Linked DNA regions of Rhinolophus ferrumequinum. The protein of the gene in region 1 purifies or fractionates together with the protein of each later gene. This does not show direct contact. Links are inferred from orthologs where the notes say so. Each region holds a gene or a part of one and is shown in the gene's direction. Other genes may lie near its edges. The genes, in order: LCK, SH2D2A and UNC119.

Region 1 (9,596 bases):
GGAGTCACCCGCGACCCTGAGGAAGGACGGACTTAGGCTGAGTGTCCCCCGACCCCCTCCTCCCGACAGCAGGGCAGGAGAAACCAGGATTGGACGTTACGCGGGGGGACACCAGCTCCAACAGCGCTTGCCCTTTCCGCTCTACCCGCGGAGCTGCGAGGTCCTCATTCCCGGGATGTCCCCACTACGCTTACCGCTTCTCGATGGAGTCGACACTACGCAAAAGCAGCAGCCACAGGTCTGGAGTCGCCTGGGGCCCTGGAGACAGCAGCAGGTGATGGCCGGTGACACACAGCGTGCCGCGCAGCGGGGGCGCCTCAGGGCCCCGCAGGAGCTCTGCTTGGGCCCGGCCCGTACGGATCAGCTCCGAGAACTCCATTCCCGCCTATGGTGGGCCTGGGGCCCAGCAAAAAGACAGACTCCTGTAGTGTCAGGCTGAAAGAGCGCGGGCTCTGAAATGGACAGGAACTGGCTGGGCAGCTGGCGACGCCGGCAAGACAGCTGTTAAGGAGGCCCCTTGAAGGAAGAGATTGAACAGTATCACAGGAATTTCCCCTTCTTATTGCCAGCACCTCTTAGCGTGGACGCCAGTCAGAGCCTGTTAAGGAAACCTCAATTTTGTCATCTGTGAAATGGGGAGAATAATCTTGCTTAAGCCCTTGACCTCGCCTGATTTGCAGGAAGCACTCAATATTTTTTTTATTTTTTACACTGGGATGTTGACACTCCAGCTGATTTAAAAAGGAGAGAAAAATGCCATCTTTTCTCCTAGACCTGGTGGAAGGGGTGGAAAGTGTGGGCGTGAAACGTAACTGCCTACTTCCTCCCTATATCTGAGGCTGGTGGGGGAAAATCCCTTGGTCCACCTTAAATGCAAGCAGCTGTGTAGTCGGCTCCTTCCCCCTACCACAGCTGGAAGTCTCTGCCTGAGGGCGCCCTCTATAGGGGCCACTTCTGATTTAGTCCTGCCTTCTGGAGCCCCATGCTCTATCACTTCATCCTTTGAACACATATGAATTGCAGGTACACTGAGCTGGGTTCCATATTTGGTGTTGGAACCCAAAGGTGACTGAGGAGGGTTCTGTTCATAAGGTTTTCAGTTCTGGTAAATTACACGAGATTAAACCGATTTACTGGAGGACTCATCCATCTAATTCTTTCATTTCTTAAACACTGATGTCTACAGCTGTGTTAAGTGCTGATTACCATAAGAGGAAGAAGACCCACTCCTGCCTTCAAAGGGCCTTCTGGTCCACTAGGTTCCAAGCTCTTGTGTGTGTTGGGGAGCGGGGAAGGAGGCATGCAAAACCCTTCTTTCAAAAAAAAAAAATCATACATGGACCCTCATAATATAAACATAAAATTGGAACTACTCTATGAAAGGAACCAGATAATAGAGTACAAACTGTAAAATTCCAGACCAGCAGCACCAGCCGGGATGGGAATTGGTTAGAAGTGCAAATTATGAGGCCCACCCCTGACCCCACATATACTAAATAAGAAACTCTGGGAGTGGGGCTGACAGTATTTTTAAAGAAGTGTTCTAGGTGATTCCAATGCATGCTACAGATTGATAACCACTAGAAAGGTGTTTTTGTTTTTTTTTTTAAAGGCTAAACTAATCTATGCTGTTGGAAATTAGAGTAGTATTACTCTTCGGAGAGAAGTGACAGGCCAGGAGCACAAAGGCTGTACCAGCCTGGATGCTAGTAAAACAGAACTCTGCTGCTTGACCTGGGTGCTGGTTACATATGTGTGTTCAGTTTGGGAGAATTCATCAAGCCGTGTACTTATGATAGGTGAATTTTTCTGTGTGTATGTTATTTTTCAGTACAAAGTTTACAAAAGGGAACTGCTCTGGTTAAAGCCCTGGGAGAGGCCCTCCAGGAGAGGCAGGTCTAAGAGCCCATCCACAGCTCTGTCCTCACCCGGCACTGTCTCTGAGGGATTTCCAAGGGAACCTGAAGTTCCTTAGAGTACAGTTTGAAATCTTTGATCTGCCCCAACAGAGAGTCAGTGACTTGTCGAGACCCCACATCCAGCACCAGAACCCAAGTCTCCCGACTCCCAGGCCAGGACTCTGGCCACTATTCCTTTGCTGAAGGACCAATGCCATGAGTGACGATGGGGCCAGCTTGTCAGCCTTCTATCCCCTCCCCCACTCCCTTACTTGGGTGTTGGGAAAAGGGCCAAGACTCTGGTGTGGATGATGCTTTTCTTATCCTGCAGCAACTTCCTTTCTGGGAACTGGGTGTCTCCTTCTGGGCAAAGACAATAAAATTCATCCAAGGGGCTAGAGGATCAGGGCTCCTCCTGTCACCACCCAGATGGGCATCACGTGGCTCCAGGGTTACAGTCCAGGAAAATCCCAGCCCTTGCACACTCGGCCTCCCATACCCATCTACTCACCCACCCTGATACACTCAGCCTCTTCCAGCCACCTTGAGCATTCACTATCACACACACACACTCCCTGGCACACTTCTTTCAGCTTTTGCCACTTCTCCCTGAACAATATTGCCAGGCTTTCCCTAATTCCAGAGCTGTAGCCTTTTGTCACTTACCCCAAACCCACCATGTCCTTGGGGCCACTGAAATTCCAGGCAGTGGGTGAAGAAAAGGAGGATGAGGAGGAAGAGAGCCTAGACTCTGTGAAGGCGCTGACGGCTAAGCTGCAGCTGCAGACACGGCGGCCCTCATATCTGGAGTGGACAGCCCGGGTCCAGAGCCAGGCCTGGCGGAGGGCCCAAGCCAGATCTGGGCTGGGGGGACCTGGGGCCATCTGCGGCTTTGACTCAGTGGATTCTGCCCTTGAGTGGCTCCGACGAGAGCTGGTGAGTCTGGTGGGGTGGGCAGCCTTGCAGAGGGCCTTGGGATAGCACTTCTAAGGGCCCAAGACCACAGGTGAGGGGCAAAGATGAGAATGGACCCCACCTCCAGCAACTGCCCACTCCTATGGCTGTGTCTGGGGGCTGAGGAGCAGGAATGGATTTGTTCAGTGTTTTATTCAGGAGCCTTGCTGAAGGATTCCATTCAGTCTGCTGACCTTGTGCTTCTTTGGCTCAGGAGACAGTATAGATGGGAAAGGCATGGCCTCCCCTACTCTGGGAATTTGCTATATCCCAAAGACACTGTGAAGTACAAAATGAGGTCAGTACAAAATGAGCATGGTCAGTACCATGCTGTAGACAGAATCTGAGGAGGCAAAGATGAAATAGGTGGTTTTTACCCTAACATGTACAAATATAAAGATGTCCAGGCTCCATATTGGAGATTCCACTTAGTTATCTGGGATGGGGCCCCAGGAACGTGTTTAACAATGGCTCCTTGTCTTAGTTTTAGAACCATCGGTATGGAGCAAGAGCAGAGAGAGGGGAGGATCAAGCTGGGGTGAGAGGGGGTGTGGAGGACACATCCAGTGCAAGGCCCCAGGGTGTTGACAGGAAGGGAAGAACAGGGCTAGCAGCTGAGCGCTGGTGCAGCAGGCTAAAGGCCCCCTCTCTGCCACAGCAGGAGATGCAGGCTCAGGACCAGCAGCTGGCCGGGCAACTGCTTCACCTGCGGGCCCAGCTGCACCGGCTGAAGGTGGACCAAGCCTGTCACCTGCACCAAGAGCTGCTGGATGAGGCCCAGCTGGAGCTGGAGCTGGAGCCAGGGGCCGGCCTGGCCCTGCCCCCACCGCTGCGGCACCTCGGCCTCACACGCATGAACCTCAGTGCTCGGCGCTTCACCCTCTGCTGAGGGGTGCCTGTATGCCTCCTGGGCCACCCACTACCTCTTCCTCAGCCCACCTGGAAAGGGGGAAGCAAGGGGTGCCCCAGAGGCGCCAGCACCTGGTGAGGGAGGAGGGTTGATGGGTACACACTGGGCTCTGAGAGCATCCTGTCCCTGCTGCTGCCCCAGTTGTGTGTGTGTGTGTGTGTGTGTGTGTGTTAGGGGAGGAGCTCACAGACACCCACCAGGCTCCTCAATAAATGCCCTCTCTGCTTCCCATCAAGGTCTCCGCAGCCATTATTCAGGTTCAAGGTCGTCAAGTGTTATCTGTTGCTGGGACCAGGGATTCCGTTGCAAGAGAGAAGACCTGGGTTGGGGTGGAAATGAACTGATGGATCCTCATTTCCCCCACAGCTCCAGCTCTATGGCTCTATCTTATCAAGATCAGAACTGGGGAAAAACTTAAAATCCTAAATCACGTCCATGGAAGGTGACTTGGGTACGTGGGCAGCTGAAGAATGCAGAATCCGGTAGAACTGGACTCAAAGGCAGCTCCCCCATTTGTTTCTATCAGATTTGAGAAGGTCCCTTAATTCCTGAATCATTTCCTTTACCTCTAAAATGGCAGTGCTAATTCTCACTCCCCAAGTAGGTGGATGTTTCGTAAGTGGGAGAATGCACAGTAAGCACTCAGTAAATGTGAACTATCTGTTGCTTATCCTTACTATCAGCAGTGGTGTTATTACTATTGTGCTGAACCCAGAGATGGCCTGTGCCATGCTCAGGTTCATAGCTAGGGTTGCTGACGCCTGCAGCCCAGACTATGGGCTCTGTGTCACTGTAGTTGGGTTTTGTGTTTTTTTTCACTTTGTATCTCTCAGTCTTTGTTTCTGTGTTACCCTCTTTGTCTGACTTTCCAACTCAGGCTTCCTCTTCCCCCCACCCACTTCCTGTCTCCCCCTTCCCTCTGCAGCTGAGGTGCACACAGCATCAGCTTCCACCTCACAAACCCCAACAATGCTCTGTGGGCTCCCTTCCCCCAAACTGCTCACTCAGTGTAGGCTCAGGCAGTGGTGACGTGTTTATACTTTCCTCTGGGTGGGGTCAAGGCCCAGCTCTTGGGCCTGATAAAGGCCACCTGGAGCTCCTCATAACACTGATGACCTGGCCCTCAGACTATGATGGGTGCCACCCTCAGTGTGGCCTCCGGGTAAAGGGAGATTCTTGGCCTGCTTGCTGCTGTGACAAGGTTCCTGCCTGTAACAGAAAATGCTGCCAGTCTGCTGCTTGCATCTGGGTGCTTGAGAAGGAGTGTTTGTTCTAGCTTCCACCTGTTGCGGGAGGTGGTGCCAGGCTCTGCACCTCTAATAGGGTTGGTGGCCTTGCCACTACCTGAATTAGAATTGTTCCCCAACTCTCCAACCATCATTAGTGGGTGTCGTCCTGTCCTCTTAAAGACACAGCGTTATCCTGCCTTCTTCCTTAAACAGCTTGTTGTCCTGCATTCTGTCTATAACAGGAGTGTTAGCCTACCCTCTGACAATAATAAAGCTGTTGTCCTGTGCCCTGAGATGACATGGCTATTATTCCGACTATAGCAGCCATGTTAGCTTGATGTTTGAAACGTGGGTGTTCTGCTCTCCAACTACTTAACAGAGGTATTGTCCTCCCCTTTGCCCCTGAAATGATGTTACCTTTGCCCTCAGACTGTAATGAAAGGGTCCTTCAGCTCGCAGACTGTGACAACAGTGCTTCTTGCCTTTCACTGACAGCTGAGGGTGTGTCTGCGTGCCCTTGCTCATTGGGGTTTAAAGGCTGCCCTTGAATCTTTTGTCCAGGTGTATCCTGGAGGGCAGGAGGGAGGTTCCATCAAATATCCTCCCTTCACCTCCAAGTACCACCCTCAGGGTGAGCAGGGCCTGGCCTGGAGACGTACAGGACCCCCAGAGACTGAGGGTTGGGGGGCTATGGTGGCAGGAAGCTTGGGGTGCTAGAGGCTTGTGGTTGGGCTGCTGGGGCCCGGTTGACTGCGGAGCCCTCAGGAGGAGGCAGGAAGTCAGGGTGGGACGTGGGCGCGAGGAGTCAGGTGGTGGCTACGACGGTGAGGGGAGCTGAAACTCTGTCTGGGCAGCCAGGCTGGGCCAGGAGGACCATGTGAATGGGGCCAGAGGGCTCCTGGGCTGGGCAGGTAAGGAGTACCGGGACAGAGGTCCATGGGGCTGGTGGGGGCCTGATGGCAGGGGGCTGCAGCTGGGCACGGGGCCAGGCTCCTTGGGTATGCAGCAGCCCTTCAGTCTTGGGGTTGGGGGCACAGAAGAAACTTGCTGGAGGTCAGGTAGGAGGCATGCAGTGCAGCCAGATCAATTCTTTCCTCTGTAGCTGTTGGCTCTTGGTTCTGCCACAGGGCCGGCCATCCACCTCCACCTCACTGGGATATCTGGCACATGGCCTGTCGGGTATTGACAAAGCCTTCAGAAATCCCCAAGTCCAGTCCCTCATCCCATGGTGGATGAGCCTCCTGAGTCCCAGAGAGGGCAAAGGCACTCCCTCCCTGCTGTCCCTCAGCAAGGCAGTGGCAGAGCCCTGGGAAAGGGTGATGGTGTAGGCTATGACCCCCACTCCACCATGGAGCAGGGAGAGGAAAAGGCTTGAGTCAGGGGATCCAGGAATCCTTCTGGTTGCTGGGTCAGAGCCCAGGGACAAAAATCTCCTGAAAGAGATCAGAGTCACCCAGACCATCCAAATGGACACGTGTGAAGTGATTTTAGCCTCAGTGACCAGCACTGCTTGGGAGAGGGAGGTGTCTCCCGTTTGGAGCAGATGGAAATGCGAGGGCACATTTATCATCTGGAATGGGGCCTCCAGGGCGGAAGTATCTGACCGGAAGCTGGGAAGTCGGAGGGGAGAGAATGAGGGGAGAAGGTGAGAGGAAGGGCTATTTTTATCCAGGACAGGGATGCAGTTGGCCCTGGGCGAGGACCGTCTGAGCTCCCATCTGGAAAGCTGCCATCCCTACCCCTGCCAAGTGTCGCAGGATGTCCTCCCCTCTCCCCTCGCTCACTCCTGCTGCAGCCACACACACAGCTCCTACATGTGTAGGGCCAGTTGGTCCTGCGGATTATTCCTGCTTCAAACCCCAGGAAAGCATAGTCAGCTACCTGCCCACCCCCTCACTGTGCAACTCTCAGCCTTCAGTTTATGGGGAGAGTCCCCACCTGCACCAGACTTTCCAGGTTTCCCCTGCCATTGGAGTTTTTCTTGACACACAATTTCCACCTAGTCAGCACGTCCCAGCCTTCTCCTGTCCCCAGCTCCAAGGCCTGCAGACTTTTGTGGGGGCTGAGGAACACGCTGGCTCTTCCTGCACTTCAGGGGGGCTCATCCACACCCTGAACAGGCATGAGCAGGCCCCCTACCCCCATCCAGCCTATGCTTGTAGATGACTCAGGGCTCCTCATCCTTGGGGCTCAGGGAGAGTGGTTCTTCTCAAAGGGTAAAAGGGCCAAGTGATGGGCACGAAGACAGGCTGAGCATTAGAGGTTGGGAGAAGCCATCCCTTAGGTTACCTGGAAGGCTTCCTGGAAGAGTCAGCGCAGTTCTGAGAAGGACAAAGGTCCATTTTGGAAAGTTCCCAGGACATGAAGCCAAGGTCACTGTCCCTGGGTTCTGTTCTTTGGGTACCATGAGGTCAGAGACCTGCAAGCAAGATCAAATGCAAGAGTCAATGCAAAGAGCATGCGTTTCAGAGTCGGGCAGGCTAAGGTACTATTCCAGTTCTGCTATTTCCTTGAACGAGTGGCTTCACCTCCCCGAACTCCAGTTTACTTATCTGTATAGAAGCAATAATGAATTTCTCTCTTACAGAGTGCTTGTGGGTAATCAAAGAGATAATAATGACTGTGATGTGCCCTGTAATGGTCTAGGCTGTGACCCCCATGGAGCAGGGTGATGAACAGGCTTAAGTCAGGGGACCCAGGAATCTTTCTGACACATAGTAGTTGCTTGACAGAGGTTTGACACTCTCTCCTCCTGCAAGTAGTTTACCAAACGGAGGACTGTCCACACCCAGAATTACTCCTACTCAGCGCTTTGGGAGGCCAGTGAACCACCCATTCCCTCACACTTGTGCTGTGGCTTTGCAAATTAGCTTGTTTCCTGTGTATAATGGGTGTGAGAATTCTAGACCGGGCCACAGATCTACCTTAAAGGAGGGTCCCACACACAGTTACCATGTTTCCCCGAAAATAAGACCGACCCAGCTGGGCAATCAGCTCTAATGCATCTTTTGGAGCAAAAATTAATATAAGACTCGGTCTTATTTTACTATATTTATATTTTACTATACTTATAGTAAAATAAGAGCGGGTCTTTATAGTATAGTATAATATAATATAATATAATATAATATAATATAATGTAATATAGTATAATATATAATACCAGGTCTTATATTAATTTTTGCTCCAAGAGACGCATTAGAGCTGATGGTCCGGCTAGGTCTTATTTTTGGGGAAGCAGGGTATACACACGCACACATACACACCCTATCCCAAACACCATACATATTGTCAGTGGAAAATGTGTGTGTGTGTGTGTGTGTGTGTGTGTCTGTGTGTGTTTGCATGTATGTTCAGAGGCAGAGGCAGGGTCTACACATACAACACACACTGGACCCCACAAATCCATACACACACCCACAAGCTGATGGCTTCAAGGCCAAGCTTCATTCAGTGAAAGCAATGCTCAGAGAAGCTGAGTGTATGGGGGGCATGGGGACACGTAGGACCACAACAATATCCAGGGATGTGGCCTTCTCTAACAACCAAGTTCAGTGTTGGTTTTAAAGCATCTGGAGTTGCATTTCCAATGCTTGCTCTAAAGAATGTTATTTCCAGAGGTGCCTGGAAAGAAAAGGTTCTCGGGCCAAATCAACATGGCCTCAGCTACAAACTGTCTTGTATTAACTTCACAGTCAAGCTTGTGAAAGCTCTGAAAGTCCCTTCAGAAGGAGCCAGATTGATTTTATCTAACCCAATGTTTCCCAAACTTCCTTGGTCGCAGAACCTTTTTCCAGTAGTACCTCTTCCATGGTTACAGTTCTTGAGACAAGGAGAGGAATGGAAGGGCAGGCTATTGATCCTCCTCAAATGATCCTCTTCTGGCAGTGTTTGCATTGGTGGTGGTTTTATTGTTTTTTGCTTTTCAAGTACAAAATTAGCACACAGTTGTTTTTAAAACTTCAAACAGTATAGAGGCATATAAAGAAATACAAGAAATGCAGCTCCCTCCAATCTTACTTCTGGGATATGCTCACTATGAACAATTTGGTGAGCGTCCTTCCAGAATTTCTTATGTATGGCTACTGAAAAGCCTAGCGGTTAAGAACCTAGTCTCTGGAGACAGGCAGAACAAGGCTCAAATTGCCACTCCACCACTTATTTGTTTGTTATGAGGCCTCAGACAAATCGCTTTACCCCGTTTGAGCCTCAGTTTTTGCCTCTGCAAAATGGGGATAATAATAGCACTTACTTCATAGAATTATTATGAGAATTACATGAAACTATGCAAATAAAGGCTTTGCACAGAGCCCGGCTTAAAAGAATCCCCTATATATACATATTGAAATGCAAATAGGCTTATATTCTACATTCTGTTTTGTAACTTCTTACCCTGTTATGTCTGTGACATTTTTCCATGTCAATACATGGAGATCTACCCCATATTTTTAACAGTTTTAACTAGACTTCGTTAACTTGGTAAGTGAGTAATGGTGGTGATTTTGAGACGCTACTTCCTGGCAAGTATTGCTGTTTTGTGTTGTTAGTGTTAGTGTTGGAGTCAGACATTACTGATCAGTGAGCTAAAGTAAAGACAAGCATTAT
Region 2 (9,822 bases), on another chromosome or scaffold:
CTGGCTGGACTAATGTGGGCGGGCTGAAAATCACAAAGGGAACATGGTCACGCAGAGATCACCGCAAGGAGAAGCCCCACCCCTAGGCTGGGAGAACAGGCAGGTGATTTGGGGGTTGTCAGCACCTGGACACTCAGGTAGGGCTCTCATAGAGGTGGGACCAGGTCCCAGAGGAGGTGGTGTTACCCAGCTGGTGCAGGAGGGACGTGGAAAAGAAGCAAATGAAGCAGCAAGGCCCCAACTGTGTCCCTCTGCGATGGAGAGCCCGCTGGAAACATGGTTTGATTTGCGGAGTTTCAGTCACGGCCTCACAGAGCACAGAAGGGAGGGATTAGAGCTGGGAGCAAACAGGCAAATGACCTGCAGCACGATCGTTATAGCACTGAAATGCACTGAGCACGGCTGCACCTGACACGCGCTCTCACACACGGAGCAGCCTGGGGGCTCCGTGATGATCCAACACTCTACACGAGGAAGTGAGAGAGTTTGCCCAAAGTCCCACAGCTAATAAACGACGGAGACGGGACCCAAAGAGCTTCGTCCCTTATGTCCCGCTGTCTGCAAGGTGCCCACACTGGGCTAAGGAGCTCTGGCAACAGGTGGACATGTGTGCTGTGGGGAGGGACTCTGGCTTGTGCAATTGTCAGCCCCAGCACCAAACTGCCTATAGCACGCTGGGACACACTGAGCCCTTCTCACAGTAGGACCTGCGGTGGGTGACGAGTCACAAAGGCGGGGCGAGAGCTGGGCTGAGCCCTGGAGGAATACCCCATGTGCTGGGCGCAGGCTCGCGGACAGGATGCGGCCCCCTCAGGAACTGTGCTAGGGCCACTGCTGCAACAGGACTGAGGTGACACTGGACCTCAGCACTGCCCTTCTCAAACCTTCAGTGGCTCCCTGGTGCCAACCAGCTAAAGACGAAGCTCCCACGCAGGCTGCCCCTCGGCCGCTCTCCAGCCCTCTGCCCTGCACACCCACACTGTCCCCAGAAGCCACCGCAGCTCTCAGCCTCCAGGTCGTCACTGCTCCTTCCACCCAGAATGGCCTCCATTCTCCTCCACCCCGAGGATCGCCTCCTCTCTGAAGCTTTCTTATTTTACAAAAGATCTTTATTAAAATATAGCTAACATATGCTATTATATGAGTTTCAGGGGTGCACCATAGTTATTCAACATTTCTATACCCAAAGAAGTGATTTCCATGACAAGGACAGCAACCATCGGACACCATCCACACTGTCACCGTATTGTTGACTAAAACGACTACAGTCATTTTAATTTTTCAGTTACAATTGACTTTCAGTATTATTGTATATTAATTTCAGGTATACAGCAGAGTGGATAGACATTTATATAATTTACGCAGTGATCCCCCGAATGAGTATAGTCCCCACCTGACACCACACGTAGTTGTCACCATATTATCGACTATTCCCTGTGCTGTACCCCACATCCCACGACTACTGTGTAACAGCCAATTGGTGCTTGCGAAGCCTTTCCTGACCTCTCTCCCCCAGACCCTTTTGTCCCAGGCAGGAGGACCACTCCTTCCTACACCCGCTGAACCCCATGCTTCTAGCTTAGCTCCTGTCATTCTGAATCGTCTAGGATTGTTTACCTGTGTATCTCCCCTACCCGCATGTCTTATTCTTGTAGTCCTTGACACGACCTCACACTCCAGCACATAACTGATTGTCAGTGGCTGCTCGATGAATGAATGATAGCAAACCAGCCAGGGCAGAGGGCAGAGAGGAAAAAGTACTGAACCAAATCTTAGGGTAAACCTACCTCCTAGTCTGCTTGAGCATTTGCTTCTCCTGGCCTCAGTTTAGCTCATCTGTCAAATGGAAAGTCCACTGCCAGGCTCACGGCAGGATGCCTGAGCTGGGACATCTGCCAGCCGATCTGCTTCCTCCTTCAGAGGCCGTGGGTGATGTTTGGGCTGCACGCGGGCAGTACCAGGAGCCCGCAACACTGGCTGCCATGACTCCCTCTCAGGCACAGCGTCTACACGCTGGACCATGCTGGACGAGAGAAGAGGGGACCTGTTGAGCCCCATCCCCTCTAGACCTCGAGTTCCAGCCCCCAGAGTCTATGAGGTGCCGACACCCTGAACATCTTCCTGTCCTGACCCCAAAGACGCCCCCTCAGCTTCACAGATGCCTCAGAACGCCTGGAGCTTCCCTTGCTCCTCTGGGGACCCTTGAGACCACCAGGATCCTCTCCACTTGTCCATGGTCTCCCCTCCTGGTGGCCTCCAAGCACCATGGGACCTGACCCTCAGGCCACCCAGAAGCCCCTCTGCAGCCTGTGCAAACTCCCAGCATCCAGTGTCCTCACAATCTCTCTGTACCCCTCTGGGCACTGCCCACTCCGGACACACGGCCACTGGCCGCCTGGCACGGGGACTCCCTACAACCCTCCTGCCACTGCTGCTCCTGCCAGCTCTCTCCTGGGTGGTGTTGGGATTCAGCCTGAGGAAACTTCTGGCAGCACACACGTCCCCAAATCACCCAGGCAGGGGAGAGGAGAAGGAAAGAAGTGGGGCGGCAAGGGGGTCCAACCCAAACCCCACCTGCTCTTCACATAGCCCCGAGGCATGGCCCTGTGCTTGGGGCGCCCTTTTCACCCTTGACTTCTAATCAAGTTCCAGCCCAGGTGCCTGGGGACTCCACGGCCTGGGCCCAGGCCTCCAGACAGGGACAGCGAGTGATTCCATTTTAAAAACGAAAACTGCTTCCGCTGCAATTATGACAAAGTGTATGGAGTACTGGGCATGGTTTCTAGAAGCGTGCGGAGCAGAGCGGGATTGCAGCCACACCGAGCCGCGCCTGGGCATCACGAGGCTGCACAGAGACGCTCCTGCCGCTGTGATCCATTCCAGGGCAGGTTACAGAGCAGCGGACAATCAGCGTGAGGGGTGGGGACCTAATTCCAAGCAGCACCAATCCCCTGTGTCTCCTTCGCAGCGGGATGGATGGAGACAGAGCCCGTTTCCGGGCTCCTCCCTGTCCAATAGGCAGAATCGCAAGGTGGGGTGACCAGGATTCTGGATTCTCTGCAGAATCTGGGCTGGGAAGGCGGCCCTGTGGGCTGCAGGGGCTGTGCAGTCCCTCCACGCCCTTCCTTTCTGCCTTTTCCCCTGTTCCCATCTCCCCCAACACCTCTGTAACCCAGGCCCAGCCCCAGTTACAGCTGGGGGGGTTGTTCTCTTCACTAATCCTCTTTCTTCAGTCTTTCAGAAAAACACTCGACCTCTACCTGGAAGGGGGCTATGTGATCTCACGGACCTGAAGCTCCCTTCTTGGGGAATAAGAACACATGTCTGTACAGGACACATGTCTGCCCTGCACTGTGGTGTGAGCGTTGACTTGCAGGTGTGGGACACACGTGTACATGTCCTGAGAGTCTCTTCGTCGACTCCTTATTTCCAAAGTCTTGCCACCTCCCTCAGAGCACTTTCCGTGCGGCCTGAGCTGACTGAAGTCCAAGGTGAAGTCCTAGGTCTTCACAGAGCACACCCTGAGCCTGTCTCTCTGTGTCCTGACCGTAATCCTGTCTCATCCCAAACAGCGCACAATGCAGGAGCCACGGAACCTGCTCCCTGAGTGAACACTGCGTCCAAAAGACGCAACCACTTCTAAGTCCCTTCCTGTGGCATAACCTTGACCAGTGGACAGTGGGAGGGAACAGGCAGCTGGGGAGGTAAGTCCCCTCCTTTCTCCCGCCTGTGGACTTCTTACTCCAAGGTGTGGTTCTACCTTGTACCCTGTCTGGACAAGGGCCCCTTTGCCAAGTGAACAAAGCCCATCAAGCAGCCATGGTGTCTGATTGCGGCTCATTTTGAAGTGGTAACCAAAGCAGCAATGTTCTTTTGCATGTTTTTCTTGGGTCACCCCTCTTTTCCTCGTCCTCCTCACCCTGAGCGTGTACCTCCCAAGGAGAGGGTCCCACTTGGATGCTTGCATTGGGACCTGCTAAGACACTTGCTAAGCTTGCCCTGCTGACTGGAAAAATGAGCTGGGTGCTTCCTCTGTCTAGTAGACAGTAGACGGCAGGGATTCCCACCAAGCTGGTTCTCCTCCCCTTCGGGGCGTATGGAAGAAGGCACACCCTTGACTCTAGAAATGAGCCCGGCCACGCGACCTGCTTTCACTACTGATGTGTTAGCAGAAGGAGCGCGTTTCATTCTGGCGGGGGAGGGCATTTAGGAAGCAGTGTGCCGTTCCTTGTGCCACTCTGTCCTGGGTGCAAGGCCGCACCCATCCAATCCGGGGGTGTCCCCTCCAGCTGCATGACCACCGGTGGCAGCCCTAGTGCCACTGTCCCAGCAGCTACCCTGCAGCACGCCATTTCTTCCGTGCATTTCACCCGTCTTCTAGAAACACCTTTCCCCGTCTTCCTCCACAGCACAGCTCAGTATCTTTTTCTGACACCCCAAGCCGCACACGCGCACCAGGGGCTCCCGGGGGCCCGCCCACACCACTAACTCCCCGCTGTGAGTATTCATGGGCACATCCATCCCGCCCCACACAATCTGAGACAAGATCCTTTTTCTCTCTGGGTTCTTTGCACCAAGAACAGTGCCTGGCACAGAGCATGGACCGTTGGCTGTCACGGCGCGAGAGATCTAGGTTTGGCTTCAACCCTTTCACCAACTTCTGAGACATGGACGGACCCTGGCCAAGGCGCCGCTCTGAGCTTCAGCTTTCCCTTCTGGAAAATGGGGATAATGTTCGCAGTCCCCTTCTCGTGTGTGAGCATCACAAGAGAGAGAAACTAGTCCTCTGGTGGCATTTAAGACCAGCACTGAATAAAGAACAACAAGGGCTAACAGTGGCCCAGCTACTAGGGGCCTGCCCAGCTGGAGGCCACCTCCCCCACCCCTCCCCCAGGATTGCTGGCTTTGCCCGCCCTGACTCAGCTCCTTATCTGCTGGAGGATGAAGGCAGGCCCCCTCCTTTCACCTCTCCTCTCAGATTTTATATGACCTCAGAATGTCATTCCAGAAGTCTGCCCGCACCCTTCCTGCTGCAGCACTGCCCGCTCCCCTCCTAGCTCTCCTCCTCAGGTGTCCTAAGAGGACAATCCTGAATATAAACCTCCAAGGATCCTGCAGCCCTGAGGCTGACCTCCCCACTGCCACTGCTCAGGGCAGAAGCAGAGAGAGAGGGGGAGTCCCGGTCTGCAGGGAGTGGACAGAGAATCGGGGAGCCAGGTCAGATGGCAGTTAGGACTCCCCAACAGCCAGGCACAGAGTGACACAAAAACCCACCACCACACCGCCACCACCTTTAGCTTCCTGGCTTCCGGGGGAGGGACCAGTGTCTTACGACTTTCCATGACGTGGGTCCTCTGCCAGGGCCAGGGCTGTGGGGAGGCGACATTTCCTGCCCTGGGGGCTGGGGTGACAAGCGAGTTGCTGAGTGTGCACACCTTGTGGGAACACACACACACGCCCTGCTCCCAGGCTCCTTCTGCACCCATGGAGTTCCCCCTGGCCCAGGGAGGCCCCCAAGGTACGTGTGACATTGAAGAATGTGTGTCGGGGGGGACAAGACCACCAGGTCCCTGCTCTCTCTCAGGGCCAGAGCCCCCAGTCAGAGGACGGGGCCCCACCCAGAGCTGGAGCTGGCAAGGCTGATTGCTGGTGCCCACAACCCCTCTTCCTTCTCTGGGGCTGCAGGTCCACTCAGCCCTGAGAACAAAGGTGACAGGGTCTGCTGTATGCTTCTTAGGGAGGAAGGAGGAGAGGGCAGGAGGGAAAGGGGAAGGCGCAGAACGCTGGGCCAGAGGAGGGCCTGCCTTCCCTCCCTGACTGTGGGACCGACTCCGGGCCACCGGAAGGCCAGTTGACATCTCAGATCCCCTTCGTGGTACCGTTTCCAGGACAAGCCTCTCTGCTGCCTCAGCCCTTCTGTGCCCCCTGGGCCCCTTACTCCTCTTCCCTGAGAAGTGCCCCATGTCCCACCTGCATTTCTCCTCCTGTCATAACCGTCCCTTTCCTCCAGGTCCCTGGTCACAGGCATGCAGGGCCCCTCTAAGCCTGCAGGGCATGGGGGACACGGAGACAGGCAGCCCCTCACTGAGAAGCCCCAGCTGTCCTCTTTCTGCTCACAGGGAACCGCAAAGCCCCCACGCCAACCTTCAGCACCTTTCAGCCCTTGGATGTCACCAGCAGGGGCTGCCAGGGCCTGGGGTTGCTTCCGAGGGCCAGGCTCCAGGCCCTGAAGGTCGAGGAGGCCCAGCCCAGCCCCAGAGCCCCTGCTGTCCACGCCTCGGTGAGTGGGGGCCTGGGCGTGCAGCAACTTCATCTGCCCTCAGCCCTCCCCTGGGGGAGCACTGGCAGATGGACAGGGGTGGGAGATGGCAGGGGTGATGTGGGGCACAGAGGGAGGGAAGGAGACAAGCTGGGAAGCTCAGGCTGAGTCCCAGGTGACCAGGGCACAGTGTCTGAGTCCGGAAGCAGCCATCTACGTCTTTGTTCACGGCCTTCGTTTGCCCAGCACACCCTGGTCTTCTGGCCCTGCCAGTGCCCCCTCCTAGGTGAGCGCTCCCTCATTCTGGCCTGGGGGGGTGACCTCCTGCGTCATTCCTCAGCCCAGGGAATGACCTTCTGGCCACTGGAAGGCCTCGCCACATTTAAGCACAGCCTGCCACTTGCTGCTGCTGGAGCAAAGGCCCAGGAGCAAAGCGGGGAGCAGAAGGCCTGCAGGGAAACCAGGACAGTTGGAGCTAAAGATGGGACTTAAGTTAGACCTTGGGAAGGGCTTCCTGGGCGATTCTACCCTAAAACAGTCAAGTAGGATGGGGGGTTGGGAGTTTCCACCCCACGCCCAGGAGGGGCTGGGGGTGAGGATGAGAAGATGGCCGCTGGCGTGGAGGCAGGTGCAGGCCCACTAGTCATGGCTCCTTTCCCTCCTGGAACTCTCCCCCTAACCAGGCATCTCCCCAGGCCCCAGGGGCTGCCGCCAGCCCAGAGGACACTGGAAAGGCTGACGAGGGGCCTAGGGAAGGAGACCAGCCCCTGCAGGCCGAGACCCGGGCTTGGTTCCAGAAGACCCAGGCCCACGGGTTCCTGCAGCATGGGGCAGCCCCTCCCTGGTTCCACGGCTTCATCACCCGGAGGTGAGTCACGGAGGAGGAAACAGGCCCAGAGAGGCCTGGGGACAAGTCCTGCGTCTCAGGAGTAGGTTGAGGCTACGAGTCCAGGTATATCTCCTCCTGGAGGCTCCCGGGGCCATTCACTAAGGCACCTCTCCTGGGGGAGATCGCGGAGAGGCTCCAGCCCAACCCCCTCAGTGCCTCGGTTTCCCTTCTCTAGGCTCAGTTATCCTCCCCTATCTAAGGCCTCGCTCCTCCTGGTCTCCGCCTGTGTCCCTCGGGCTCGCCCAGCCCTCTGCTCTCTCTTCCCTCCCTTGCAGTTCCTCAGTTTGTTTCTCCTGTTCCTGTGTTTGCCTGCTCTGTTCCGCTTGTAACGTGTGACATCTAAAAGTCTATTGCCATCCCTGGTGCTGCGCGGCCCTTCCAGGACAAGGCCAGGATGCAGGGCTGGAAGCTGTCCTGGGGGGCCCACATCCCCTCTCCCACCTCCACTCTTCTCTAGCCACTTCAGCCTGCTTGGTTGGGGGTAAGGGTCCCCCATGAGAGCTGGGAGACAGCAGAGGCTGGAAGAGTCAGAGCAGCGCTGTCTCTTCTCCACACACAGGGAAGCCGAAAGGCTGCTGGAGACCAGGCCGCAGGGGTGCTACTTGGTGCGGTTCAGCGAGAGCGCCGTGACCTTTGTGCTGACTTACAGGTGAGGGGCGGGGCGTCCCGCTAATCCGAGGGGCTGAACTTGTCGACCCCTCTTTGCTCCGCCCCCCTTCTCCCCACTCCCCACCCCTGCTACTGAGAGTGGGACACCCTGGCACAGGGCGGGTGGCGCTGGCCGGGGAAAGGGAGCGGGTCGCATCCCTGGTCGCATCCGGACTGGCGCCCTCCAGGAGCCGGACTTGCTGCCGCCACTTCCTGCTGGCCCAGCTTGAGGACGGGCGCCACGTGGTGCTGGGTGAGGACAGCGCCCACACGCGGCTGCAGGACCTGCTGCTGCACTACACCACGTGCCCGCTCAGCCCGTATGGGGAGACGCTCAGCCAGCCCCTCGCCCGGCAGGTATGAGCCACCCCCTGACACCGCCCTGACTCTCAGCCGGGGACCTAGGCCGTGCCCCTCCTCACGCAGAGCTCAGGCCGCAGGACAAGGCCCTTTCTCCTCACAACAGATTACCCAGCCATGCCTCTTGCCCACACGTCTGGGCCGGAAGCCCTTCCAGAAAGATGCACGCTCGGGGAGGGGCATTAAGAAACCATCCCCGCCGCACAGAGCCACCAGGGGCTGAGAGTGAGAGTGCCCAGACAGGCGCATGGGTCATTTGTTGTTTATATTAAAAGCTGTTTACCGAGTGCCCGCATGTACCAGATGCTGGCAGGCCCTGGAAAAAGAGCCAGAGACAAGACAGCCGGGTCCCAAACCCACAAAGAGTGGCCATCAAGTGTGAGGGTGATGGGAGGAAATAGAGAGTAGGATGCCGCCACTTACCTGGCAGGCAGCCATGTCTCCTGGAGGAAGTTCAGGCAGGACCACTCTATGCCAGCAACCGTCTGGGCACTGGGTAAACAGAAGGAAACCAAAATATCCCTGCCTTCATGGAGCTTACATTCTGATGAGAGGAGACAGACAACAAATACATAATATAGAGAACACATAATCCGTCCAGTAATAAGTGCTGGGAAGAAACACCAAGCTGTGACAGGGAGTGACGGGTTTGGGGCTCTTCTACATGGAGACATCAGGGAAGGCTGCTCTGGTAAGGGGACATTTGAATGGAGGCCTGAATGAATGAAGGGAGGGAGTCACAGCAGACAACTAAAGGAAAAGCCTCCTAGGCAGAAGGAACAGCAGGTGCAAAGGCCCTGAGGTAGGAGGATGCTTGATGTGTCTGAAGAAGAGTGAGAGCAGGGAGGAAGCTAGCATGGGTGGTGAGGTGGGAGATGAGGTCAGAGAGGTGAAGGGAGGGGGCCCTATGGACTCTTGTGTGGATTTGGGATTTTATTCTGAGCTAAAGACTTCTCAAGCCTGTTGCATTTTTACAACCACCGGCACAAATAGAGACTGGCCTGCCCTGTGTTTCAGAAGAAATTAAGTTTGACGCTTGATATCGCCCGTGACCCCAGCCCCGCCCTCTCCCTGGTATCCTTGCCATCTCCATCCCAGTTCCTCACCCAGGGGACCCAGGGCACGCCACATTCCTGTGCCCTTCCCCCACCCCGCTCCCACCCAGACCCTGTTATTCTGCCCTCCTGGATCACCTGCCCACCCCACGGCCACCCCTCCCACCGCGCACCAAGTTCCTCTGGCCTCCTTCTTTCCCAGCAGACTCCTGAGCCAACAGGACTTTCGCTAAGGACTGAAGAATCAGACTCGGGAAGCAAAAGCCAGGACTCACGCACCCAGTATAGCCCGATCCTCAAAAAGGAGCAGCCCGCAGCCCCCACACAAAAAGAAGGGGCTGGGGAGCCAAAGGAGGTATGCTGGAAGGGACCGCGAGGAGGCGGGGCCCGCGAGGGGCGGGGCGTGCGAGGGGGCGGGGCGTGCGAGGGGGCGGGCGTGAGGGGTGCCCTGGGGCTCGTCCCTGTGACCCACAGGCCTCCCGCCTCGCTTCTCTCCTAGCCCTCCCAGCCGCCCAGGCCCAAGCCTCCTATCCCCGCCAAGCCTCAGCTGCCCCCCGAAGTCTACACAAGCCCGGCTTCGCGACCCCGCCCGGCCCCGCCCCTCAAGCCCA
Region 3 (10,150 bases), on another chromosome or scaffold:
CTGACTGCACCATCCTTTGCAGAGTCCGTGGTGTAAACACTATGCCTTAGTGTTTACAGGCATAGTCTGTTCTTCCAGCCTTCTGAGCTTGCTGATTTGCTGGGAATTTCCTCTGTGTGTTTATGGTTCTGTGTCTCCTTTCCCTCCTTGGTGTCCAGCTTGGGGAGTTTCATCTATGCTTGTTAAAAACTAACTTCCTTATAGCTCCCTATAGAACTGTATTCACCAGTTGTGCCATCCTTAAGGAATTTATTTAAAAAACAACAAACTTCCTGAAATGTGTTATGTAGTAACAATAACGATGTGACAAATGTAGCTTTCTGTATCATACAATGTCCTTTGTGGGAAAACGGGGGAGAAATCTTTATCAGGTCTTGGTAGTGGGAGTCATTGTGAATACTTCTGAATAACTGACTTGATTTGATCTTGTGGACACTGAATTATGCTATTCTTTGTTTCCCTCTTTGTTTAGGCTGTTAGGAAGCCTGGTAAATGATGTGGTTTTCAAAGAACATATTAGTGTTTTAACTTTAGCTTTGGCTTTGTTATTTTTTTCTACACTCATTTTCTCTCAGCCCTGATTTTGTCTCTTATATTTTGCCCTGTTGTAATTGTATCTTTTTAAGGCACCTCAAATCTTTTTGGGCACAAAGTGGAATATAAATTAGTAAACAAAATAACATCCTCCCTCTTTGCTCTCTAGATCCTTTACTATGCAGTGTTGGGAGTAAACCCTCGCTTTGACCCAGCCTCCTCCAGCTACTACTTGGCCGCACACAGCCTCCCCCATGTCATCAACCCGGTGGAGTCCCGGCTGGGTGAGCTCTGAGGATGAGGGTCTTTTCTGCCCTTCTGGGGACGGACCCTGAAGGCTCCGCGTGGCGTTGGAGGCGGGTTGCATATAGCGATGGTTTCCAGGTTGCGTTGGTCGGAGGCTGTCAAGGAAGTGCTAGGCATTTGGGCTCCTTTTCATGATACTCTGTTCACATCTCCATCGCCACACCGTCATATCCAAAAGCATTTATTAAACATGTTTCCCAGCACTTTTTATAAATGAATGGATAGGCTGTGTCTCCCTCCCTGTGAATCATCCAGGAAAAATATGGTCAGATCCATAGGAAAGACAACAGCAAAGGTACACGAAGGCAGAATTTGAGTTGACAATTCTGCTGATTGAGGTTAAGGAACTTTGAAGCTAGGATTCCAGTTTTTCATTTTTGGGTTGGTACCTAGGAAGAGTGGGTGTGACCAAGAACTGCCATACAGGCAAACCAAAATGAGTATATCACTAGCTGTGGAATTTAAGACATCAGGGCTAGGCCAGGGTGGACCAAGGGGTATGAGAGGGACAGCACATGAGGCCTTAGCAAGTTCCTTCCTTCTTTCTTTCCTTCCTTCCTTCTTTCCTTCCTCCCTCCCTCCCTTCCTTCCTTCCTTCCTCCCTTCCTTCCTTCCTTCCTGCCTGCCTCCCTCCCTTCCTTCCTTCTTTCTTTCCTTCCTTCCTTCCTTCTTTCCTTCCTCCCTCCTTTCCTTCCTGCCTTCCTCCCTTCCTTCTTTCCTTCCTCCCTCCCTCCCTCTCTCCCTTCCTCCCTTCCTTCCTTCTCCTCTCCTTCCCTCCCTCTATCCCTCCCTCCCTCATTCCCTCCCTCTGTCCCTCCCTCCCTCCGTCTCTCCCTTCCTCATTCATTCAGCAAAGTCTGAGGGACTGCTTTGTGGCAGTGCTGAGTACAGAGGTAAAAGGGCATTTCAGACAAGAGAACTGGGCCCAGAAGTGTAGTGTGGTTGAACTGTGACAGTGACCGAGATGCTGCTGGCCTGGCAGGTGGGCGCCAGATCAGAAAGGACCACGTTAAGGAGCTAGAACCTGGTATAAATGGCTAGCCATTGAAGGATATTAAGCAGGGAACTGACATGAGGTCACATTTATACTTGTGCATAAAAAGAGTTATAGTAATACGGGTGCAATGCGGCAGGGCCAGCAGAGCTGTCTCAGACAGGTAAGGGGGGCCTGTTAGAGGAGAGGAGATTCCAGGGGCATTTGGGGGCTAAATTCATGTATGTGGTACATCTTGGGAGAATGTTCAGAGATTCTTTGCCACCGAAACTCAGGAGTGGAGGATAGCCTAGTGATTATCAGCTGGGGAGAATGAGGTCCAGCGTGAGTGACCAGCCAGGTAGAGGCCGACCTGAAACGAAGATCTAGATCCAACATGTTTTGATGTTCTGACTCCCCTTCTCTTTGTACCACAGGATCCAGCGCTGCCTCCCTTTACCCTGTGCTCAACTTTCTGCTCTATGTACCTGAGCTTGCCCACTCCCCTCTGTACATTCAGGACAAGGACGGGGCTCCAGTGGCCACCAACGCTTTTCACAGCCCCCGCTGGGGCGGCATTATGGTAATAGTCACAATGCAGACCCAGAGCCCAAGCTCCAGGGACAGACACATATTCCCTGAGATTATTCTCCTGTCATTCCTCTGGTGTCCTCCGTGGCCTAGCCTGGGGAGAGGCAGGGCACCTACGAGGTGAGGGTGCTGTGAGCTGTGCCCCTCCTCGGCCAGCCCCACTGCTGCTGCTTTCGTCAGTATTTCTCTAATGACCCTTAAGCAGTTTGCACTTACGGAGGACCCTTCTGTGTACATCATAGATCTTGGCCCTATTTGTGGGAGTCTTGCAAGGCTGGAAACTTCGTCTGCCCTGTTAGACTGGAAGTTTCTCAAGGGTAGGAACTCTAAAATGGAATAAAATGACCTCTTTTACAGGACTTTTGAGTGGGTAATGGAGATCATTTATGGAACGCTCCTAATCGGTATTCAAATAATAGTAGTATACCGTCAGGTTTGTCACTTCTAAAGAGCACAGACTATATCTTCCTTTTCTCTCATGGCCTCCAGAGCGTACAGGGCAGAGCTGTACACGGTGTGACACTGAGGCCACCTCATTTCCTGTTGCAGGTGTACAACGTGGACCCCAAAGCCTACAATGCCTCGGAGCTGCCGGTGAAAGTTGAGGTGGACATAGTGCGTGTGATGGAGGTGTTCCTTGCTCAGTTGCGGTGAGGTCCTGGGTGATCCCCTTGGGGGCCTGGCCCCTGACCCTACCACAGTCTCCTGGGCTGACTGGAATGACATCTCACCTAGCAGAGAGACGTTGGCTCTGCCTAGAGCCCGAGGAAACCAAGAAAGGTTTTCCAGAATCACTTCATCCTCCTAAGAACTAGTTGCTGACAAAAACTGCTTGAAGAAAAATAGACTCATGAATGTCAGGGAGTGTGATTAGGGGTGCTTAAGAAAAGAGCTGTTAATTCTTGTGTCAGCTGCCTGATCCCCTATGTTGAGGATTGTATGGCTGTGTCTGAGCTCATCAGGAAAGAGGATTCTGATTGATTAGCAACGTCTGCTCTGGGTGCAGGATGGGAGAGACGCAGCACGTATGTCTTGTCAGAGGTGGTCCTGGATCATCGCTTAACTAAGGCTCTATTGGCCCTAGTTGTCCGAAGAGAGGGTAGACAGGGTGAGAGGGGATTAAACCATGTTGGTGTTATCAAAAATGTTTTAGCCATGGAATCTTTTGTCAAACAAGATCTTGGAAATCCAATATAGAAACAGGTAAAAGCTGAAATACTGGTTAAAGCAGGGCTTGGGCACTGGATTGCTTAGTGTTGCCACTTACTCCCCAAGACCCTAAAGTACTTCCCTAAACCCCTGTGGGTCTGGATAAGATTGGAAATCTTTGTGGTTTTTGTAGGAGTCTTAGTCATTCTTCCACCTCCTAGTCTCAGCCCCTTTGACTTGACTTCACTGTTCCTACAGGCTGCTCTTTGGGATTGCTCAGCCCCAGGTGCCTCCAAAATGCCTGTTTTCCGGGCCTCAGAGTGAAGGGCTCATGGCCTGGGAGCTAGACCGGCTGCTCTGGGCTCGGTCAGTGGAGAACCTGGCCACAGCCACCACCACTCTTACTTCCCTGGCCCAGCTTCTGGGCAAGATCAGCAACATTGTCATCAAGGACGATGTGGCATCTGAGGTAAGCGGGCCAGGGATGGAGTCTGTGGCCCAGGATTGGGGTGGCCAGGGTGTGGTGAAACAGGCCCGTTCAAGTCCAGGGTATGTGTGGGCATGCCAGCCTTGAATGTCCCAGGCTTCCTCTAGAGGGCAGTGCCAGCCCCTCTGCAGGAGTCCAGAGGGGGTGGTGGGGTGAGGTTTTAAGCAGGCACTCAGAAAATACACCATAACCCTGTTATACTGGCCTCCGTATATCCTGGGCGAGTTCCAGGCAACCTGTCTGCTAGATGGAAGACACGGTAAGGCCCATCACCCCGCACTCCGCTTCTCCAATGCCTCGGACTAATTGGTAATCCCCTGCCCCCTCCTAGGTGTACAAGGCTGTAGCTGCAGTCCAGAAGGCAGCGGAGGAGTTGGCCTCTGGGCATCTGGCCTCTGCCTTCGTTGCCAGCCAGGAAGCTGTGACGTCCTCAGAGCGTGCCTTTTTTGATCCATCCCTTCTCCACCTCCTCTATTTCCCTGATGACCAGAAGTTTGCCATCTACATCCCGCTCTTCCTGCCTATGGCTGTGCCCATCCTCCTGTCTCTGGTCAAGATCTTCCTGGAGACCCGCAAGTCCTGGAAAAAGCCCGAGAAGACAGACTGAGCAGGGCAGCATCTCAGTAGGAAGCCTTTCCTTCTGGCCAAGGCGGGAGCTGTTAGACTGAGGGGCCTGCCATGAATGACTCTTCCCAGCCTCCTCTGTTGCCTCTCCAGCAACCAAAATATAACACTCGAAGATGGGTTCATCTTCCCTTCCCTTTCCATTCTTCTGGCTCATGTGTCCCCACCCCCATCCTCACAAGACGTATCATCTGGGTCTCCTTACCTGGCTTGAACCTGAAGGCCCTTTTCTATCTCCCTCTGGGGCAGCGGCAGCTTGTGCTCTGCCCTGGTCCTCAGAGTCCTCTTGCACTGACAGGGAGCATTAGGGGAAAACCTAGGTTGGTCTCTAGCCCCTCCCCGCCACACTTCTCTGTGACCCCTCAGGGAGAGCCCTAGCTCTGCTCTCATGGAAGGAGCCAGGTACAGGTCACCTCCAGCCGCTTCTCCCTTACTCTCCTCCCTCCTGGCTAGCTACTCCTGTTGGGTACAGCCTGGTGCTGTGTGTGTGGTAGAGGTTCCCTTCCCCCTTTCATAGAGGCAGTGTGATGCAGTGGAGAAAGTTCTAGACTTGGGATCAAATATGCCTGAATTCAAATCCTTGCTTCTGCACTTGTCATCTGGGGAGCTTTGAATAAGCTACTTAATCTCTCTGAGCCTCAGTTTTTCATTTGTTAAAACAGCACTAATGATACCTCTCTTACAAGGTGGTTGTGAGGATTAAATGTGATAAGCATTTGAAAATGTCTGGCATATTCCAGGCTCTCAATAAACACTGAATGTGAATTGGTACTTACCTTTTGTTCTTTATTCATGTGTAAGCAGTGGTTTCCTAGCATCTGTCCTCCTGGGCTCACAGGTCCACCCTGCTTCCACCTGGCATGTGCCCTTCCTGCCTCCCTGTCCTGGGGACCCTGTGGTGGCTTAGACACCGAGGCGGTTGTCCCTCAGCATGTCCTGGTTTGCCCAGCGAGGCTGCTAACATCCAGTTCTGCTTTTTAGCGCAGAGTCTGGGAGAGAATAGCTTGTACCAGTGGAAGCCCTCAGATACTAACTCATTCACAAATGGAAAAAAAGAATATATTGAGCAAGGGCTGCAACAGGCACTGTGCGAGGTGCTGGGATATTATAGAGAACACATAGGATCCCTGCTTTCCCAGAACTGATCTTTTAGGGGGCAGAGTCGTGAACAAGTAAAACTAATTTCAGATAATGCATTAAAAAGGAAAAACAGGCTGATCAGATAGTGACTGGGGTTAGTCCTTTAGATTGGGTGTGAGGCGGAGCCTTTGAGCAAGTGACATTTGAGCTGAGACTAGGACAGGGTGGGGAAGAGCATCCCAGGAGAAGACCCTGAGATGCGAACTCGCTTGCGGGGCAGAGTGGCCAGAGCACAGAAGAGGTAGCCAGGACCCCTTGAAAAAAATGAATGAAGCCCAGAGCGAGCCCTCACCCTACGCAGGGTGACTACCCCAGGTCAGTGCGCCCGCAGCTTTTCAGCTGGGGTGGGCTGGCGGTGGGCGGGGCCAGGGGCGGGGCGGGGCGGTACCTGGGGCTCCGGCCGGGGGTGGGGCTGCGGACGCTCCCCCTTCTCCGCTCCAGCCGGCGCAGGCAGCGGCGGCGGCAGCAGGCGAGCCGCGGCCCCGCGAGGCCATGAAGGTGAAGAAGGGCGGCGGCGGGTCCGGGACGGGGGCGGAGCCCACTCCGGGGGCCTCGGGCCTGAGCGTGGAGCCCAAGCCCGACCCGCGGCCGCAGGCGGAATCCGAATCCGGGTCCGAGTCAGAACCGGAGGCAGGCCCGGGGCCCAGGCTGGGGCCGCTGCAGAGGAAGCAGACGATCGGGCCGGAGGACGTGCTAGGGCTGCAGCGGATCACCGGCGGTGAGCACCGGCGAGGGAGCGCCGCCCGCGGGAAGGAGGGGGCCGGCGCGGCGCGCGAAGCCCCGGCCCCCGCCCCCCTTCCCGCCCTCCCCCTGCCTCCCCTCCCCCACCGGGGTACCCTCGTCTGTGTCCCCTACCCTCTTGCCTCCAAGCCTGAGATCTCCATGTCCCCTCTTCCCCCGATCTCCTGTGCCCCTCCTTTAGTGATTTATTTCCACCCCGCTCATTTTTGAGGAGTCCATCCCTCTTTCTCGTGGTGGAGGTGGGGCAGCAGCTGCAACTGTGACCCTTTCCCCATGGAGTTTTCAGAGCCCTTTGAGGCCTTTCTCTGCAGTAACGAGGAGGGGCGCTGAGTGCAGTCTGTCCCCATTCCCCACCCTGGAGGCTAGGAGGAGGCTGAGTTACATTAAAACCCTTAGGTCTCTCTGACCGTTAATGCCCTCACCCTGGATCCCCCAGGAAGTTTGGGGCCATCTCCCTCCCCAAGAAAGGACCTGAGCAGGAATCTTCATTGAGTTGGCTCTGGGCCCTCTCAAGGGAGTGGGTTAATGCCCGCCTTAGCCTGGACTAGGGCCTGTCCCCTTCCAGGAGGCCTAGAAGGTCTCCACTGTGGTTGAGTTTCTGAGCTGGACTGCCTGGGTTGAAGTCCCAGCTTTGCCATGTAATTAGCTGTGTGACCTTGGGCAAGTTACTTCACCTCTCTGAACATGTTCATCTGTAAAATGGGGATAATGACACCTACCTTATAGAGCTACTGTGAAAATAAATTCTGATTATTGCACAGTGCCTGGCATGCTGTGCATGCTCTGTAAATAGGGCTCTTTTATGAGTAATACTGAAGGCCCCACAGGACTGTTCATGGCTGCTGCCTGGAAGCAGACAACTGGGCATTCAGGGCAGGAGAGGCGGTCAGCATCGTCAGGGAACAAGGACTGGGAAGCCTCATGGCAGAGGTGGTGGCTGAGCCTCAAAGAACAGAAAGCATTTGGAGAGGCAGTGGCTCTCTACCTTGGCCTCATTCATCAGTGACCCTGTCCTGGCTCCCTCTGTGAGAGCAACTCTTGGGGCCTCTCTGTGGGGGTGGGGGTGCTAGAGTAGACTTGAGCTCTGGAGCTGCAAGAGCAGCAGAGCCCAGGGCTGCCAGACAGAACCATGGAAGGGACCATGATGGCAGGGCTAGGCCTGTACATCTGGGTCTCTGGGGGACCAACTTCTCCCTCCTCTCTGAGCTAGGCAGCCGCCATTCTTGGCTGGGCCCCCAGAGTGTTGAGCTGCCTTGCCCAAGCAGACACGGGTAGGGGGAGGGGGCCTGGACCAGTCTAATGTTGGTGCCAGTTAGGCTGTAATTGTCAACAGCAGCATTTAGGATTCAGGTTAGCTCTGGGGCAGAACTTCCTTATAGGATATCTGGGGGTTAGGACAACCTATCCAGGTCCTAGGTCACTTTAGAGGTTATTTTGCAAATATGGGGAGTTCTAGCCGACATACCACCATATATTTCCTAATTTGGAGGAAATTCATAACCCTTAAAGATGGATATCTGTGGGTGGTGAATAGGGGAAGGGGTTTCATAGGAGCCCTTTCCTCTGTAGAAATTGAGAACAGGGTGCCAGAGCTTTCCACCCTGGCACCTCTTGGTCTCTTCTGACCCTAATCACATAGGTCTGAGGTTTGCTTCTCCTGGATTACTGGACCATGAATCCTGCTTTGGAAGCTATTTGTGGCAGAGGGGAAGGGAGCAGTTGTATTCTGAGCCCTTGGCTACTGCCCCTGGGTTCCAGGCCTTGTCCTTCCCTGGCAGAAGGGAGGGAGTGGCTGTGGTGTCCTGAGCCGTTGGCATCCCCCATTCCTCACTCCCTCTAAGGACAGAGGGATTGATAGGTTGAGTTTGCAGCAGAAGAGACTGAGGTCAGACTGCGAGAAGTTGTTTCCAAATGAGAGAAGCTCCAAAAGTTGGAGACTGGAGGGAGGGGGGCTTTACAGGGAGCTGGGATCCTGCCCCCGGTTCTGCCACCTCCTTTCCCTGTGCCCTGCACCTTCTTTCTACATCTTTGGACTGGTGTTTACTTTCTGTGAAAATAAGGGTGAAGTAGGGGCTGTCCGCTTCCGTTCCTACTGCCCTCTCCCTACCATGGGCTGTGGTGGACCCTCCAGGGCTCAGGCCTCTCCCCAAGCGCTATGTCATCCCTGCTGGACCCCAGGGTGCTAGGTGGCTGCCTGGAGGCCTTCCTGGAGGGGGTTGCCCCGGGCTTGGGGAAGAGAGAATGACTTTACATTTACTTCCTCTTCCTGCCCCAGAGGAATAGGAGGTGGCTTAGGGGCCTGGAGGGTGATTTCCGGGCCTCTATGGGGAGGATGTGAAGCTGTGCAGGCTGACAGCACCAGAGCCCCTCACTGCCTCTCTCTGCTCCTTCCTATTTGTTGCCAGGGCCTCCGTGACCACTTGCAGTTGCTGCTACAAAAGCAGTGAGGGTTGGCTCAGGCCCTCATATTCCTGGGCTTCCTCAGGTGGGGTTCACCACTGTTCCCGGTTCCCCTTCTGGGCACTGAGGACTCCCAGATACCCCTATGCACACCCCCTGTTGCACCTGCCACACCCTCTTCCTGTCCTCCCTGTACATATTCTCTCTGGGAGTGGCTCAGAGCCAAGGCTGGGTAGATGACCTTTCAAGGGGTTCCCTCTATTTGCTAAGACTTCCTCCCATTTGGAGATCAACGGGATGGGAACAAAGGTGGCCCCCTTCCCCCAATATTCCAGGCTCTGGGCTTGAGTCAGCAGAGCTTTGGCTAAGCGGCTTAAGGGAGCTGAGCTTGTATAAGCTGCTTATGGGGAGAGGAGGCGACTCGTGGGGAAGGGGGAAGAACAGGGTTGAGAAAGACCAGGGAAGGTGGAGTTCATCTGCTCCAGCGCTACCCAGGTCAGGGAACATCCTTGCCTGACATACCTAGAGGTAGCAGCAGGGGCTGCTATGTGGTAGGGTGGGGGTATCCTTCAGATAAGGACTGTGTCTCCTTAGGCTGAACTGTGTCACTCACCCCTTTTAGACTGAGGTTTCCAAAGGCAGGGCTGTATCTTCCCTCTCATGCTGGGGGCTCCCTATTATATTGAGACCTATTTGGCTCAAAGTCACCAAGCCAGCACTGGCAAAGCAGAGGCTGGAATAACGGCCTCCACTCCAGGGTAGGAGGGAAAATGTGGGGGAGGTGGCCTTCTCCTTCACCCTTCTCCATCCTGCCCCGCCCTGACCCCAGAGGCCACTAGGTGTAGCTGTTTCCTTCCCCATTAGATCTCAGGGACAGAGCTGTCTCCCCCACACTGTGGGGAGTTCCCCCAGGGCAGGAGCTCAATTCTTTCCGGAAGGCAGTGACCTTAGGGATCTGAGAAAGTAGTAGCTAGTCCAGAGTCCCACAAAAGCTGAGCTGGCAGCAGCCCCCTGTCTCCCCTAGACTACCTGTGCTCCCCCGAGGAGAATATCTACAAGATTGACTTCGTCAGGTTCAAGATTCGGGATATGGATTCAGGCACTGTCCTCTTTGAAATCAAAAAGCCTCCAGCCTCAGGTGAGTGGCCAGGTGGGCCATTGACAGGGGGTGGGTGAGAGCTGTGAAGTTGGCTGCCCAGGGACTC

Evidence for each region.
Region 2: the proteins of LCK (region 1) and SH2D2A purify together in Homo sapiens (co-immunoprecipitation; 3 studies listed by IntAct, with this or other methods). This does not show direct contact. The link is inferred for Rhinolophus ferrumequinum from reciprocal best matches to the Homo sapiens genes LCK and SH2D2A.
Region 3: the proteins of LCK (region 1) and UNC119 purify together in Homo sapiens (affinity purification with western blotting; 3 studies listed by BioGRID and IntAct, with this or other methods). This does not show direct contact. The link is inferred for Rhinolophus ferrumequinum from reciprocal best matches to the Homo sapiens genes LCK and UNC119.

The regions. Positions count from the first base shown.
Region 1 is NC_046292.1:22,133,752-22,143,347, forward strand, and holds the start of LCK (tyrosine-protein kinase Lck), read left to right. Parts: upstream 1-5,776; 5' UTR 5,777-5,902; intron 5,903-9,596. Other genes in the region: myotubularin-related protein 9-like, read right to left, coding at 1-16, 195-379; protein FAM167B, read left to right, coding at 2,577-2,834, 3,511-3,741. UniProt on the Homo sapiens protein: Non-receptor tyrosine-protein kinase that plays an essential role in the selection and maturation of developing T-cells in the thymus and in the function of mature T-cells. Plays a key role in T-cell antigen receptor (TCR)-linked signal transduction pathways.
Region 2 is NC_046305.1:1,169,938-1,179,759, reverse strand, and holds the start of SH2D2A (SH2 domain-containing protein 2A), read left to right. Parts: upstream 1-5,399; 5' UTR 5,400-5,484; coding exon 5,485-5,518; intron 5,519-6,119; coding exon 6,120-6,280; intron 6,281-6,942; coding exon 6,943-7,127; intron 7,128-7,707; coding exon 7,708-7,797; intron 7,798-7,984; coding exon 7,985-8,153; intron 8,154-9,413; coding exon 9,414-9,566; intron 9,567-9,710; coding exon 9,711-9,822. UniProt on the Homo sapiens protein: Could be a T-cell-specific adapter protein involved in the control of T-cell activation. May play a role in the CD4-p56-LCK-dependent signal transduction pathway. Could also play an important role in normal and pathological angiogenesis.
Region 3 is NC_046304.1:18,869,122-18,879,271, forward strand, and holds the start of UNC119 (protein unc-119 homolog A), read left to right. Parts: upstream 1-6,225; 5' UTR 6,226-6,296; coding exon 6,297-6,522; intron 6,523-9,969; coding exon 9,970-10,083; intron 10,084-10,150. Other genes in the region: PIGS (GPI transamidase component PIG-S), read left to right, coding at 704-818, 2,251-2,396, 2,954-3,054, 3,812-4,022, 4,372-4,647. UniProt on the Homo sapiens protein: Involved in synaptic functions in photoreceptor cells, the signal transduction in immune cells as a Src family kinase activator, endosome recycling, the uptake of bacteria and endocytosis, protein trafficking in sensory neurons and as lipid-binding chaperone with specificity for a diverse subset of myristoylated proteins.